Styela clava: one gene and its partner. The protein of the gene in region 2 purifies or fractionates together with the protein of the main gene of each other region. This does not show direct contact. Links are inferred from orthologs where the notes say so. Each region holds a gene or a part of one and is shown on either strand. Other genes may lie near its edges. The genes, in order: WW domain-binding protein 2-like and WW domain-containing oxidoreductase-like.

Region 1 (8,155 bases), on a different chromosome or scaffold from region 2:
AAAGGGGGTACGACATCATCTCTGCTCAGTCACCACCTTCGGGAAATTGAATGCTTGAAAGAAAATACTAAACCAAAAACGCATCTTAACGTACGAAGCTGCTTTGAAAAAATGTGCCGAATAATCAAAATCAAGCGACCTCTGTAGCATAACAGAAGCAATAACGCTTTGTCTTACATATATTTACGGTCTAACTAAAGACGTTATGCCAAGCTACAGTGTTTAGAAAGAGGGATTTCGCGAGCTGTTGGAAATATCAGACAAACGGTACCGTTTACCAAGCTGGAACTATTTTATAGGAACAGCCATACCAGCTTTGTATGAGAAGGCCAGAATAAATGTAGAACGTTAAGTCACGGAAGCTGCTCACGTTTGTCCAATTAGCCTGTCAGTGCATTACATTAACGAAAATTAGGAGATAGATTCATACCGTTTGAAACGCACTTCATACCGGACCACACTGGATCAAATATTGCAGACACGCTGGAGTGTATGCTTCAATCTTAGGAGTTACAGACAGAAAAATAACATCATCGCGGTAACAATAGACAACGGGACGAATGTGAAATCGGCATGCAGCCTTATTGGATTGACCCGCATTTCTTGCTTTGGCAACAATTCAAACCTCGCAATGACAAACTCGCTGAAAGATTTTCACGTCACTCGAACAATTTCTGTATCGAAAGGACTGGTGGGTGGTGGCATGGTTTTCTCACAGTTTCAAAAAAGCGGGATCTTGAAATTGCCAAGAAGCGGTTCAATCTTCCGAGCCGCATGGTCGTAGTAAACTGTCGGACCAGGTGGAGGTTGCTATTTGACAAGATCGAAAGAATTTTGAAACAACTGGAAGCGATCTATTTGAAGAATGTAAAAATCTAAACGATGACTCATTGAATGGCGATAGCTTGAAAACGACAGGTGTATGGGAAACAGGAGTATTCGAAATTCAATGCATTTACTTAAAGTCTTAAAAATAGATATTTTAGATAAATTATATGCCTTTCTGACAAACAGACACAAATTGCTCGTACAATGTAGAACCAAACTTCTATAGGGGGTGCGTTAGAACGGGTCAACTATACATACATAATCAAAATAAATCAACTCTGTTCTGCACTGTTTTCCATGGAATGATCACGAGTTTATATCAGTAATCTTCATTAAATAACCCAACATGACGCACCCTAACCTGGTGCACATACTGTGTTCAGGTTGTGCGCCATCTTGGTGCATATATTTCTGGAGCTCCAAAATTTCTTTGATTTTGCTTATGGGTGTGCTCATATTGCGTCTGTTAGGTTATTCAAAGATGTTGAAGATTACTGATATAAACTCATGATCATTCCCTACTACTGTATACTGTTTCCCATCAAATTGTTTAAAATTTCACGAACGCTAATAAATAATGAAAGAAAAATGTTTCCCTCTCCTCTGCGCTGTTTCCGTCTCTTCTGCGCTCTATTTAGTAAGGAGTAAGACCGCTTAATTTGAGGAAGTTTTGGAGAGTTGGCGCTTACAAACTGGTTTATATGTTCAAATCCATCATTTTTATTAAAAATTATCAACTACGTTCCGATTTCAGATACTCATAGCTAATTTTAGACTAGTCTATCGCAGCGACTGCAGGGCTAATTTTTGACTTTTGTAACTAAACTGAAGATTCTCAAAAGTCATAATGACAATTAAAATTATTTGATTTATAACTATTTTTGGGAAACACAACTGAAAATTGATAAATAACACATAGAGCCATGAAAACGAGGCAATGTTTACAACCATGCTTGGATATCTAACTGCCCGAGCGAAACAAGTGCTGGGCGTCGATATTAATTGTTACGTAATTGTTTACTTATTGATCATTGTTACGGAAATAAATAAGGAATCCGTAATTTGGCGAAACACCCATTGCTAACAAAGGGCCCATGTGGAAAGGTTCAATTTTATGCCAGCTGTAGTATCTCATACCGGTTTCTTCAATTCGGAGCATACATCTTTCGCGCAATCTTGGATTGCACCATTTCCTGAATCTTTGTCGTGTGTTTTTATGTGGATTACCATGTATGTTTGATTTTTACTTTCCGATAATCTAAATAACATCTATTCATCTTCTTTAAAAATTATTTCTCACGCCAATGACGTGGTTTAATCTCATTGCTCACACCGCTCAATATAAAAGATAATATATATGACATGGTGTGGAGAGAGGGTCTGTTATATAAACTATTCAAAATTGAAGTGCGTGGCAGTATTCATCAATGGATTAGATTATTTCTCACAACACGCTCATTTCAAGTCCGAGTATATTCGTCGATGTCGGCTACAAAACGATATTCCCTAAGACAGTGTTCTCAGCCCAATTCTGTTTTCCGTTATGATCAATGACTTGCCACAAAATGTCCCTTCATTGGTGAAACTTTTTGCTGATGATGGAGCTTTCTGGGAGACCGGATTGCATATCCCGGAAATAGTACCAAAAGTTCGATCTCACTTAAATGCCATAATAACTTGGTGTGATAGGGCGGGGGGGGGGGGGGTTGAACTTTCCACCACAAAACCCTGTATCGTGCTTTTCACCAAGCGCAAGGAAATCCCTACAATCCATCTTAGAATCAAGGACTCAGTAATACCTGTCACATTCGATTTTAAATATTTGGGCGTTGTGTTTGACTCAAATGGACGTTTTTGTTTTTTTGCCGTCCAGTAAACAAAGTCACGTGACCCGTGCAAGTCCTCTATATCCAGATTATCTGGAGAAATATACTGATGGATATCGCAAAATAGGCCTTAAAAAGTATTAATATTCTGATTGGTCTTTCTGCATTGGAAAGCATACAGAATATTTGGAATGTTAAGCATTTTTTATCGACAAAAATACAACTACTTCATGCTATTATTTGTCACACGACGGATATCAAGTTTCTGTGGATACCAGCACATATTGGTATTAGCGGTAATGAGGCAGTGGATCGGCTGGCGAAAGACGGAGCAAATGGAATTGTCATCAATGCAGTTCTCCACCTGTCATTGGAAGAAGCTAAGACATTATGCAAGCAAGCATGTCTAGCAAAATAGTATTTAACATATCAAGCTAACGATACTACAAGCCATTATAAAAACTTTCGAACTCATATAGCCCAAAAGACTGTCTATTTCAATTTTTCCCGCCAAAAAGAAATAGTATTTTTTCGTCTTCAAACTGGACATCTCAGACTCAACTATCATTTATTTAAAATACGGCTACATTCCACAGGGCACTGTAGTTAATGTGACACGAATGAAACTGTTTCCCATTTTATTTTATATTGTCCCAAGTGTAGTAACCTACGATTGCGAATTAAGACATGAAGCAGCAAAAATGAATGTGCCCCGGAAAATTATTTGTATTTTCAATGTTCCTGATTTGGTTCCATTTATCATTAGTTTTGCAATATCCACCAAACGAGAGTTGTGAACCTATTTTATTGTATCATACTGACTACTTTTTTTGATATTTGGCGCAAAAGACCCAGTTGTCAAAGACGCCAAAAAACCTTTTACCCTTACTACCCTAATATATTCCCATTGCGCCACTGCACTGACGACCGAAAGTGAAGTCACGTGCAGAGGTCGTATGACACAAAGTGACTATGTGACTTGGTAGGTATGACAAAGAAAATGTTTTCATAGTGGCAGATACTGTCTAGCACTAGCAGCCCATTGCTGTTGTGTGTAAAGATCGACAGCAGGGATCGGTGTATATCACAAGTGATAAATGAAAATATTATTATCACGACCCCGAGATGGTTGTAGAAATTTCACCTGATTGCAGGTATTGATTACCGCACAGCTAGGTATATCTCTGTTGGTGCTGTGGTAGAAAGCCTCGGCGCAGTCGGCGTTACCTCATATACCTGTATACAGATAACGTTATATCTCAAGCCATGACTGCATGAATTCAGGGTTGCTATGTGGCTTTTTAACACCAAATTCGCCATTTTTGGCTTTTTTCAAACACGATTGGCGTCAGAATTTACGTTTGGCTTTTTTCTTGACTTTTTTCAGTCTCCTTCAATGTGTATTATTAAAAATCATATGAAATACATTATACAATATTTAGTGTGTAACAATAGCCTATTGCTTAGCTATTTAACATTTGGAAGAGCATCGATTTTCTTGTTTATGACCATAACCAACAAAAAATAGTTGCAGTTTCTGCAGCCGCTCAAACAGATGTTCAAGCGGGGTTGTAAACATTGCCATGCTTTTAGTTATTTGTCAGTGTTCAGTTCTGTTCCCAAATATAGTTGTATGACTTAATTGTCATTCCTGCATTATGCCTTCCCAGGAGCTTTAGTTTAGTTGCAGTAATCAGAATTTAGTGTCACGAACGATTGTGATTAAATACGCTAAAATTAGCCATCAGTAGTCCGCCTGCAGACCTGTAAGCGGGCACATGGTTAGATAATTTTTTAAATAAAAATGATGGTTTTCAAAATGTTCAGTGAGAATGTTTTAAGGTATATCACAAACTGAAGCGTCACCCTGTGTATATATATTGAATTGTTGAGTGATGCTGTCCGCTTGATATTTCCTTCTATTTTTTTTATTTTCCCAACTCTTTCATATAGATATCAGTTTGACTGTATAATGTCAAATGTAGGTTCTGGTGCTGCCATTCAATTAACCCCTTTTCAACCCTCCATCTCGCTGAAGCGGAAATCGCCATGATAGCTAGCAACTGAAAATACAACTTTCAATGACTGAATGAGAAAAGACATTTGTGTGGCTCACTAAATGCTCTACATCAGGTGCTTTTGTAATTAGTAAAATTGTTGGCTTTTGCTGGCTTTTTTTTCGTCTCAATTTGGCCCTTTTTGATCACTAGGACAGTAGGATCTGGCAACCCTTTGCATGATGCTGTAATAGGATGGTTATGTACGGTACCTACTGACCTACAGCGAAAACTATACAATGTTGGGCGTTATTTAAGAAGTTCCCGGAACAAACACACCAACCTCGAACAGTGTCAGACATCGAAACATTGCAATTTGAAAGGCAGTTAAATGAGCATTTATAATTGAAGCCGCATGAGAATTTTTTTACAATTTTATGCACATGATACTACTCAACTGTGTTAATGCAAATAACAAAAACTAAAAGGATTTTACCTCTCTAGATTTACTCTAAACCCTGAAACTATAAGTTGGTAATATTTCATCACCTGGACCTTGCAAAACTTGTGCAGTCATGTCTATCAATAGATCGGCAGGACTCCAATTATTTCAAGGCGAGCTGACTGTGCAACAACACAAAGATGTTGAACTGAAATTCAAGAAGGTCAAATATTCATCTGAGCACTTGAAGGGATCGAAAGTCGGCCAGCTTTATCTTACGAATTTCAGAGCATTTTTTGTGAACAGCAAAACAAATGACATGCTACAAAATTTTAGCATGCCATTCAAACTCATAAAGGATTTTGAGATCAAGCAACCTGTGTTTGGCGCGAACCACTTGGAAGGAAAAATAATGGCTGAAGAAGGAGGTGGATGGCAAGGTTCCGCAGAATTTGAAATGACATTCAAGGTAATATTGATTTATTTTATTCAAGTACAAATAATGAAATTAAAAGTTAGCTGATTTTACCTTGAATTTTTAAACTCATTTCCTGGTTGATGCCATCACATAATATTTGGGCTCCCTAATTGAGCCTTGGAATGTATATTACTGTATTAGATGCATTGAAACATAACTATAATCTATAATATACATATCCTGTATAATGACCAAAAACACATTTTTTTTCCTTCTATCGTATCTCACCAACTAACATTGTATTTGTAACATGTATTCCTTTCCGGAAAAGTAAGTGTTAGTGATCAAATGAAATAAGCAGAACCTTATGATGGTTAAAAAATGAACCTGACTTGAAGGAAAGAATACTGACTCTTAAATTTGAGAATGGTCAATCAAGTGAACCTCGAAGAGAGAAATCAGCTGTGTGTGTCATGTGTAACAGCCATGCAATACATATAAGGTTATCATACAGCCCCAATTTGAAGTCCCAATGCTGTATATTGGAGCTCCGCTCTATAGGAGACCCTTATTCTCAATCGTTCTGTCTGTCTGTTTAGATGTAGCCTCTAAACGACTAGATCAATTTGGGTGAAATTTCTTATGTGAGTTAACCTGTCGAGTGTCATCCTAGTATTATGCGTATGAAATAAGCAGAACCTTATGATGGTTAAAAAAATGAACCTGACTTGAAGGAAAAAAATACTGACTCTTAAATTTGAGAATGGTCAATCAAGTGGACCTCGAAGAGAGAAATCAGCTGTGCGTGTCATGTGTAACAGCCATGCAATACATATAAGGTTATCATACAGCCCCAAGTTGAAGTCCCAATGCTGTATATTGGAGCTCCGCTCTATAGGAGACCCTTATTCTCGATCGTTCTGTCTGTCTGCTTAGATGTAGCCTCTAAACGGCTAGATCAATTTGGGTGAAATTTCTTATGTGAGTTAACCTGTCGAGTGTCATCCTAGTATTATGCGTTTCCTTGAAAGACTGGATTGTTGTTTCGCTTCCACGGCAGCAACCACAAAACATCCGATTGTGAGAAAATTTCTAATTTTTTGACATTCTGTTGCAATTTTCTTGTAAATTAAGTCGAAAATTAGAATTCTGAGATTGCTACCTCTCGCGAGAGAAAATGCTTTCTCTAACAAGCCGCCATTCATCTCGATACTCTATAAACTGGTGAAGCCTTTGGAATTAAATTGATTGATTGATGGAATTTTAGTGAACATGTTTCAATAATTAGCAACATTTTATTCCTCATGCAACGCTAAAAAGCAGACGCACAGCGTTCAAAATGAACAGGAAATATCGCCATCGGTAACAGGCAATATCGGTGATTGTTATTGCATGCGTAAATGGTCTCGGAAATAAAAGAGATTTGTATTCGAACGAAGTTACTGGTGACCACTAGAGTGCTACAGGGACTAAAACGAATTGGATCATCGCGATAGCATAATACAGACGCGGGGCTGAGTATCAGCGGAGATCCCGGGCGCCTACCGACTTGTTTTTTCATGTGACTCGTTCACGAAACCTTAGAGAAATTCTCAAGTACATAAATGTACTAGGGGAACTTGGATATTGTGTATTGAACTGCAGGTCCTTTCTCCTTGATTACTTTCTACTTCGGATCCGTATGTGGCACAGTAAAAATAACATGATCTCTTTCAACGAAATAGTAAGTATATTTGTGAGCTTTCGTTAGATCATGGTCTAACTTCTTCAAACAATACAAGATATAACTGTAAATATAAAAGATCATATAAATTTAGCCTATTATTGAGTTTCCTATAACTGGATATGGATGCTATCGTATCATCTTAGAATAGCAGGTCTAACTGATGTGGTTGGGTTGGGGTTCATCTATTTGGGTAGTTTCCTTTGTTTGTTTTTCATCGTTATTTGTTTGTATTGTTGTTGTTGTTTTGATGGTACTGTTTGTTTTTTGGTTTCATATTTGCGTTAAGGCCACTTCTTCGTTTGAGTTTTAATCTTTTCTATTGATTCCTTGTGGTTGCCGAGTCTTCATTTTGTCAATCCAAAAATGCTCTTTGTTTTTCCTGTAAAGTTTGTCGTGGGTTAGTGAGTCAATTCCTAGAATACTGAAATCGTCTATATTGTGCCCTTGCCTGTTAAAATGGTTGGCAACTGGTGTTGGGGTCTTTTTCCGAATGTCCCTAAGGTGGTCTGCCGTACGAGACTTTAATTTTCTTCCCGTTTCTCCAATGTACTGTGCCTGGCATTTTTTACAGGTGATTAGATATATTACATTTCTCGTGTTGCAGCTGATTTGTTTAAAGATTTGGAACTGTTTGCCGGTCGATGTGCTTCTGAATATTGAGATTTCAAATGAATGTTGGCAGGTCGTGCACCCTTTTCTGTTGCATTTTTCAAATCCTTTTTGGTCGGCTTTTTTGTGTTCCACTTTTAATTTTGCTCGCACAAAATAAATCCCTTAGTGTTGGACATTTTCGGTAGCCTATAATGGGGGGGTTTGGGAATATTTTCTGCAGTCGCGCGTCGCGGTGTAGGATGTATGGGTACTTTTGAAATATTATTCTGATTGCTTGGAGGAGTGGGTGGTACGCTGTGCCAAGAG
Region 2 (7,242 bases):
CCACGGGTTCAATCTATATGCGGGTACTAAAACCCATGGGTTAGGGTTAGTATCGGTTTAACTATCCGTGAAATAAAAAAAAATTCCATAGGTGCAATAGCATACAGGTGCAATTGTCATGGGTTCGAATGTACGTGGGTTCAAATGTAATGGAACCGTTTTGTCCACCTGCCTGTGAGTCCGTCAAATCTTTCATTCTATAACCATAATCATGCAAATACCTGGTAGGGTTCAAATGATGCTACAGTTACCCATCCCTCGTGCCACATGTCTCCTTGATCATGATCTATTGACCATATCATTCTTGGCCCGGTCATATTAGTGTAAATATAGAAATTCAAACTCCCCATACTTTCTCCTCTCATATGATACCAAAACCTGTTATGGCAAAGACTTGTTATCTTATTTTCACACCAACTAAACAGATGTAAAGTGTGTTTGGTATATATTGTGTATATATAAGGTTTTTTAAAGATTCAATTAGCTATGAATCATCTAATTTTCACATTAAGGAATACATTAAAACATGATATGCCATTGCGTATTAGATGAATTTCTTTAATATGTATTAATGCTAATGTCAAATTTAATCATCATTTCATTGCTTTTCATACCTCACACAAGCACCATTGGAGGATTTCAATACAGGCGTCGACATTACTGCTGTTTCTCCTCCAGTTCTCGGATTGGAGCATTCCAATAGCATGTAAGATCCCGTGTCTGGCTCTATGAACAACGTTACCAATAATGTAATAAGTAAATAATTTTACAAGAGCTGTAAGCGTTAAAATATATTTATGAAATGGAATACCGAAATAAATTTACGTTGTATTTGAAAACAAATAAATAAATATTTAAAACACTACTTTGTATTGTATGATCATGTGATGGCCCCGTCTGATCAGAGCTCGTTGCTCCAAGTTTAATTTCCCAATCGAAATCATCATCGGCCATCTGCGAAAGAGATGTCGTCTCGAAATCGTATTTCAGAATAGGTCTGTCTAAATAAAAATCATTTCGCTGTAAGACACTAAAAGTAGGAATACTTCGCACATAGTGCATGCCCACGTGGGCACAATTATTCTAGTTTCCTTTAATTGAAGAATTGCACGTTGCACATTAGTATTAAAAACACTGCGCAAAGATGAAAAAGGCAAAAGAGACGCGAGTGATTTCATCCGAGAATTAAATAAATTGATACAATTTGGGTATTTTTGCAGGTTTGCGCATACCGTTCTCTAAGTTGTTGTCCTTGTGAAAAAGTGAACAATGCCCTGGCAACTTCATTTCTCCTGCAACTCCTTCCCGTAAAGTACATGAATAAAGGACGCCCGCTGTTGTACTAACGAGATTCGAAGTTGACCCAAGACTGTCATCTCTAGGAACACTGACAAGCAATCTGAAAAAATTAAAATTACTATACAATATCGTTGAATGATAGGATTCCTCGATAAATTGGGATTTACTTTTGAAATTAAAATATACGCAGAGAATTTCGTTATGGAATTTGTTTGGTTCCCCCATGGCATGCGAACCAAGATGGCAAAACGTAGTGTGTGTACCAGGTTAGGGTTAGGCCAGGGGTGGGCAACTTCTCTAGTCGGCGGGCCGGATGTGGGAAAATGAAGTCCTCGGGGGGGCCAGATTATAACATGGATAGTATTCAATATCTTAATCACATATTTATTGGCTATTGCAAGAAAGAAAGTTATAAATCATGTTTAAAGTAAAGTTTAAACTTTAGACCAAAAAACACATAATGAATTTATCATAATGTACTGAAATTGTAATAATGTAATATCATAATGTACTGATGTACAGTCAGCGGGCCGGACCCGGCCCGCGGGCGGTATGTTGCCCACCCCTAGGTAAGGCCATAATTTTATTCCAATTTTCCTTATTTTAGTTCTATTACAAGTTCGGGAACTAGCCAAGTGACGCCCGTAGTATTTGTACCACATATTACGTTCCGGTGTCCGCCATCTTGGTTCGTATACTACAAGGCTACCATTTGTTCTATCAATTTACCATGTCGCGTTGCATTATAAAAACAGTGATTTATTGGATTTGCCCTCAAATGTTGCAGTTGTTGTAGTAAGTTATTATTACATGCAGTTCGGTTACAGTTATTTTTTCAAACACTTTGACGGAAAAAACAAAGGGGGAAAAGATGAGTTGATGAGCTCTGAAGTATTGTGAAAAAAAAAAAATGTGAAACTATGTCATTTTGTCAGACGGGAAGTACGTGCAATTCCAACGTCATTTCCGGATAACGCACATTTTACACTAGACATACATATTTTAATTTGAACAAACTAATTCAGAAATATACAATATTTATATCCCACCTTGTTTTACCATCGCTGTTTTTGTGCAAAGCCACGTCATAACCAAACTGGGAATCAGGCTTGAAGTTTGATAACATTACGCCCGTTGATAAATCTTGTAAATTGAAACTAGCGACAAATTTGAAGAATTCCATAAATATTACATATTTCATTCCAGATGATAATACACAATCTTTTCTCATTGTGTTATCTAACTCTGCCATTTATTTAAATATATATATATTTGTTTAGACCTAAACCTATGAACGCTGATTAATTTATTGCCAATGTAAAGCCTAACACAATAGTAACTGTTCGACTTGAGGTAGCGGATTATTACAGCACGATCATTCACATCGGTACATTTACTATAGGGAAGCATTCCGCATATTCAGGTAGAATGTTTCAAATGTTACCGGCAAGAACCCAATCGGGAACTACTACGCGGTGTCAAAGAACAGTGATACTCGCTTGACCGCATGATCTACGTTAGCTTCTTTAAAAAATGAATCAATGAATAAATAAATAGAACAAAACAAAAGCATGTCTACCGTCATGTGCCACACCAATAATGCGATCGGTTCTAGATGATTTTTCCTCCAAATGAACAACAACTCATCTATTAACATAGAACCCTTTTCACTACGTTAGAAAAAACAGTGTCAATTTTCAATTATTTTCATTTATTTTACACCAGTTCCTACCACTCTTCCCCAGCGAATGAAATCGAAAATGAATTTTTTTTTGTTTCCACATCAGAAATAACGGTTCACAGATATCAACGAACGAAATTTTCAGTTGCATTCACCTGATCCTATTTATTATTAAGCAACCACGCATGTGATCAGCCTTTTATAAGAAACGTATTTGAAATATTTCCCAAAATAGTTGTAGCCCGGAAGACGTCTTGGTTGAAAACTTCCTCGAATGAGGAGGTTTTACGTCATAATAATTGTAACCATGTTTCGGTAGTTCATACATTTGTACAGATTCATTTATTTTTTTATACTTTCACATCACAGCCTGTGAAAAACTCTAACAAATGACGCCAAATAGCGAAATCGGAATGCAAGAGGGTATAGATTAGGATGTGAAAGATAATTTTGATGATTAATAAGCCTATTTAAAACTATAAATTTAACACATTTCAATATTCCAAAAATTCGGCAAAGAGTTTCACAAATATGATTGGCTGGTCTATAAGTGGCAAATAACAATCTTTTTTAAAACCCAGGATATAAAACCTATTTTTGCTACGTTTGCATATATTGTATTGGAATGTATTCAACTGCAAATAAGTAGCCTAATATTAAATATAAGTTCAACTGCACTTCTCGAATGACTTTAAAAAAAAAGCTCAATTCGATCTGTGGCGTCAGCTGTTCACTTTTTACTTTTGAATTTTCTATATACTTAACGCCCGCACTGCAAAGAAATAACAGCACCACCGTACAAAGCTTTTATTTCATTTTATATTATTTAATTTTAAATAGACGATTGTAAATTTAATTTGTTTGGTATTTACCAACGACTAACATACCGGTATTTACTGAATGCACCAATATTATGGTTGTTTGCTATTCCTTCCAACTGTCAACCGGACAAAGGGACGTGGTTCTCTACATTTGGTGTTTTTCGAATCTCTTCGGGATACCTAAGAAACTCCCCATTATTAGTTGTTTGATATATAGACCAAAATTCCATTGTTCCGAATAGAGTAAAACAAGTTAAATCTAAATTGCAGTACTTTTTGTTTTGGGATGAAATGGTATACTCGATAGCTAAACATCTACATACTTTTTAACTGTACGTAAAATCGTAAAAAATCATAAAATGTATACATTGAGGTTTGTTGTGTGGTCAAAGGTCGTTTATCGAACACCGAAAGGGCGGACTTTCCCCGGTATGTGGTGCTTCCCCCGTTTTGATGCTTAGGCCGATTTTTTGCAACTTTCAGACTTTAGCTTTTATTTAATTTTAATAGTCAAAGACTCTTAAACTACGAAAGGATGCCTGTTGATGATTTATATGACACAGACAGTGACGATGAATTGCCACATGGATGGGAGGAAAGGGCGACCGAAGATGGATGGGTTTATTATGCAAGGTAGGGTACGGTACCGAGATGCCTGAGCCTGTGCAGCTGGCCTATCTGGCTACAGAGCTATGACTGTATGACTGTACGGCAGTACGGTAGGTGACTTTGCGACACTACCGGTACCTGGTACCGTACTGTGGTACGGTGTATACTGCAGTAGTTAACTGGTGCAAATTTAGTAAAAACCCATGATTGGTACAAATGATGAAAACAAGTGAAAACTAATTAAACCACTGGATCATGTCTGTAAATACATGTTGTGACTCGTGACGCAGACGCACACATCCTAAATTTTAATGAAAGTTCCGATAAATTCATGCAAGCTGAAATCATATAGCTTGCCAAAGCATAGCTACGATCGTCTAAAATAGCATCTGTGCCGACGATATCGAACTCGCTAACGCCAGCGATCTCACTCATATCGGGATTGTTACGACGAGAAAACGTGAGAAATAGCTTGCTCGACTTCGGTTAATTGTCTGTGCGTTTTGGATGATCATCGTATATTTTGGCTGGCTTCATTATGTCACTGTAACGTCGTAGTGACACAATTTTTGGATGACATAGTCAGGTGGGGGTTAGGAATGACATGAGAAAAAATTGTTGCACCATGCCCACTAGAAGTTACTGTGGTACGAAAGTACACGAGACCCCGAAGAGACGCACATGGACAACAGTGTGAAAAAACTAGAGAATAATTCTGGCGAATACCTTTGGTATCAAAGAAAAACAAATTTTATTTTCTCATTTGCGACACCATAATTTTTTCAAATTCGAGTCAAAGTCAAGGGTAATTTTTCCCGATTCGAGATCCCTGCTTCACCATCCAAATCTGGTTACCCACAACTGACAATTGTTATCTTACATTGACTAATAAAAGGCTGCTGTTTGTCTTATCATTAAGCAGAGGAGTTATCAGCTTTCTGCTATTGTGTTAATTTACATTTAATGTATTTCAACAATGTTTATTTAATGAAGACTGCTGTGAAGATTTTTTTTTCATGTTTGTTATATATATTCATTCATCTCTTGTTTGATGGTTCATTTTGATCCAATTTCAATCATGGCCTCAATCATGAAAAGAGTTTCTTATTAAAATATTAAAAATATCCAATAAACTGTCAGAGATATTGCTAATACACAAACAATCATGAATTTAATATTATCGAATTGCACCAGACCAAACTGCCTCTTTTAAATAGTTTAATGTGTATGTTATTCTTGGGGATTCAAATAATATTTGCTTGATTGCATATGATATTAATTATCGTTTGTAATTATTGCTACGATTTGTTTACTTTTCAGCCATTTGTTAAAGAAAACTCAGTGGGAAAATCCAAAAAGTGGAAAAAGAAAAAGAGTAGCTTCAGGTTTTTATATTAGGCTCTTATATGATATATATCTGGAACTCATTTGATACACATATATCTCTGGCATAACATTCATTTACCTCAAACCAATTTTTAGACATATCAAAAGTTCATGGTTCACGTTTATCATGACAACTTAGACTGAAGTTTACTTGGGAATGTTAAAATCTTTATCTGCTATTTTTAATGCTATTTGATTTATATGTGATGTCTAGTTTGCAACATCAAACAGAAAACATTGTATGAGCATCTTGAAAAATATTTACATAATCTATCATATTTCTATCTATACAATTTTTTTTTTCAGAATTTGTTTTATTTTTCCAGAATTGCCTTATGGTTGGCAGAGGAAGGTTGATGAACAAAATAGAATTTTCTATGTTGAGTAAGTACTTTGTTGCACATGTGAACACATGTAACATGTCTTTCACATATGCAAGTGTGTATGATTCTGAAATATCTTATTTGTACTATGAATGGCAATTTGGTAATCTAAAATAAAATTAAAAGATTTCTGACATTACTAAGTTTTAAATTTAGTTTAGATGGAAGGCTGAATATCTGCCTCGCACTTTAAAATTTTTTTTGACTTTGTGGTAAGAAGACTAATTTTTTACACTGAAAACAATGGTTTATGATTGATTAGTCCTGTATTGTTTCTTTCACACCGCTCTGTTTTTATTGTAAATACCAAAAAATAAAACATACTTTTGAAGAAACTGTTGAAATTTTTAACTTTGCTTTTGACAATCACAACAGTCAAATTGACTGTCCCCCTCAGTTTTAGCCACATTGATATGCATATATATATATAATCTAAAAATCTTTTCAGTAGTGTATCAAACTTTTCTGTACACATGTTGAATATATATAATTACTTTTAGTCATCTGAATCATCGTACAACATATACTGATCCTCGTCTTGCGTTTGCATATGATGTTGAAGATAAAGATAGATATAGTTTTAGACAAAGGTTTGATTCCAGTAGTACTACAGATCAAGTATTAGAAGGAAGAGATCTCTCAGGGAAGGTTGCAATCATAACTGGTGCAAATTCTGGAATCGGTAAGTATGCCTTCAATTAGGGAGGGGGATCAAACCTGAATTCATGAATTTGAAAATTAGTTATATTCGATACAGTTAGTTCTTGATTTTAGGAATAATACAGATTGCTTGCATTTGAAAATTTGTCACTTTGTATATTTGAAATCTGATGGCCAGACAAAAGATAAATCAAGTTTTACTCCCTACAATGTAAAAAAGAGAAAGGATATCTACGAAAACAATGTTTATTTCAAAGTTTCTCCATAGCCAAATTTAATTTATGAAGGTTTGTTTAAATTAATTACTCCGTTGAGCACACTCACAATGTGACTAAATCAAGGTTTAGGTAAAACTTGCATGAATATCTAACTGCAAGCACTTGAAGTGGAAGATGTTCAGTAA

What was found.
Region 1: the proteins of WW domain-containing oxidoreductase-like (region 2) and WW domain-binding protein 2-like purify together in Homo sapiens (affinity purification with mass spectrometry; 3 studies listed by BioGRID and IntAct, with this or other methods). This does not show direct contact. The link is inferred for Styela clava from reciprocal best matches to the Homo sapiens genes WWOX and WBP2.

The regions. Positions count from the first base shown.
Region 1 is NC_135251.1:30,811,984-30,820,138, reverse strand, and holds the start of WW domain-binding protein 2-like, read left to right. Parts: upstream 1-5,136; 5' UTR 5,137-5,226; coding exon 5,227-5,562; intron 5,563-8,155. UniProt on the Homo sapiens protein: Acts as a transcriptional coactivator of estrogen and progesterone receptors (ESR1 and PGR) upon hormone activation. In presence of estrogen, binds to ESR1-responsive promoters. Synergizes with YAP1 to enhance PGR activity.
Region 2 is NC_135260.1:12,230,898-12,238,139, forward strand, and holds the start of WW domain-containing oxidoreductase-like, read left to right. Parts: upstream 1-4,231; 5' UTR 4,232-4,336; coding exon 4,337-4,434; intron 4,435-5,730; coding exon 5,731-5,795; intron 5,796-6,122; coding exon 6,123-6,180; intron 6,181-6,679; coding exon 6,680-6,861; intron 6,862-7,242. Other genes in the region: integrin alpha-1-like, read right to left, coding at 222-378, 615-726, 867-1,001, 1,233-1,399, 2,349-2,530. UniProt on the Homo sapiens protein: Putative oxidoreductase. Acts as a tumor suppressor and plays a role in apoptosis. Required for normal bone development. May function synergistically with p53/TP53 to control genotoxic stress-induced cell death.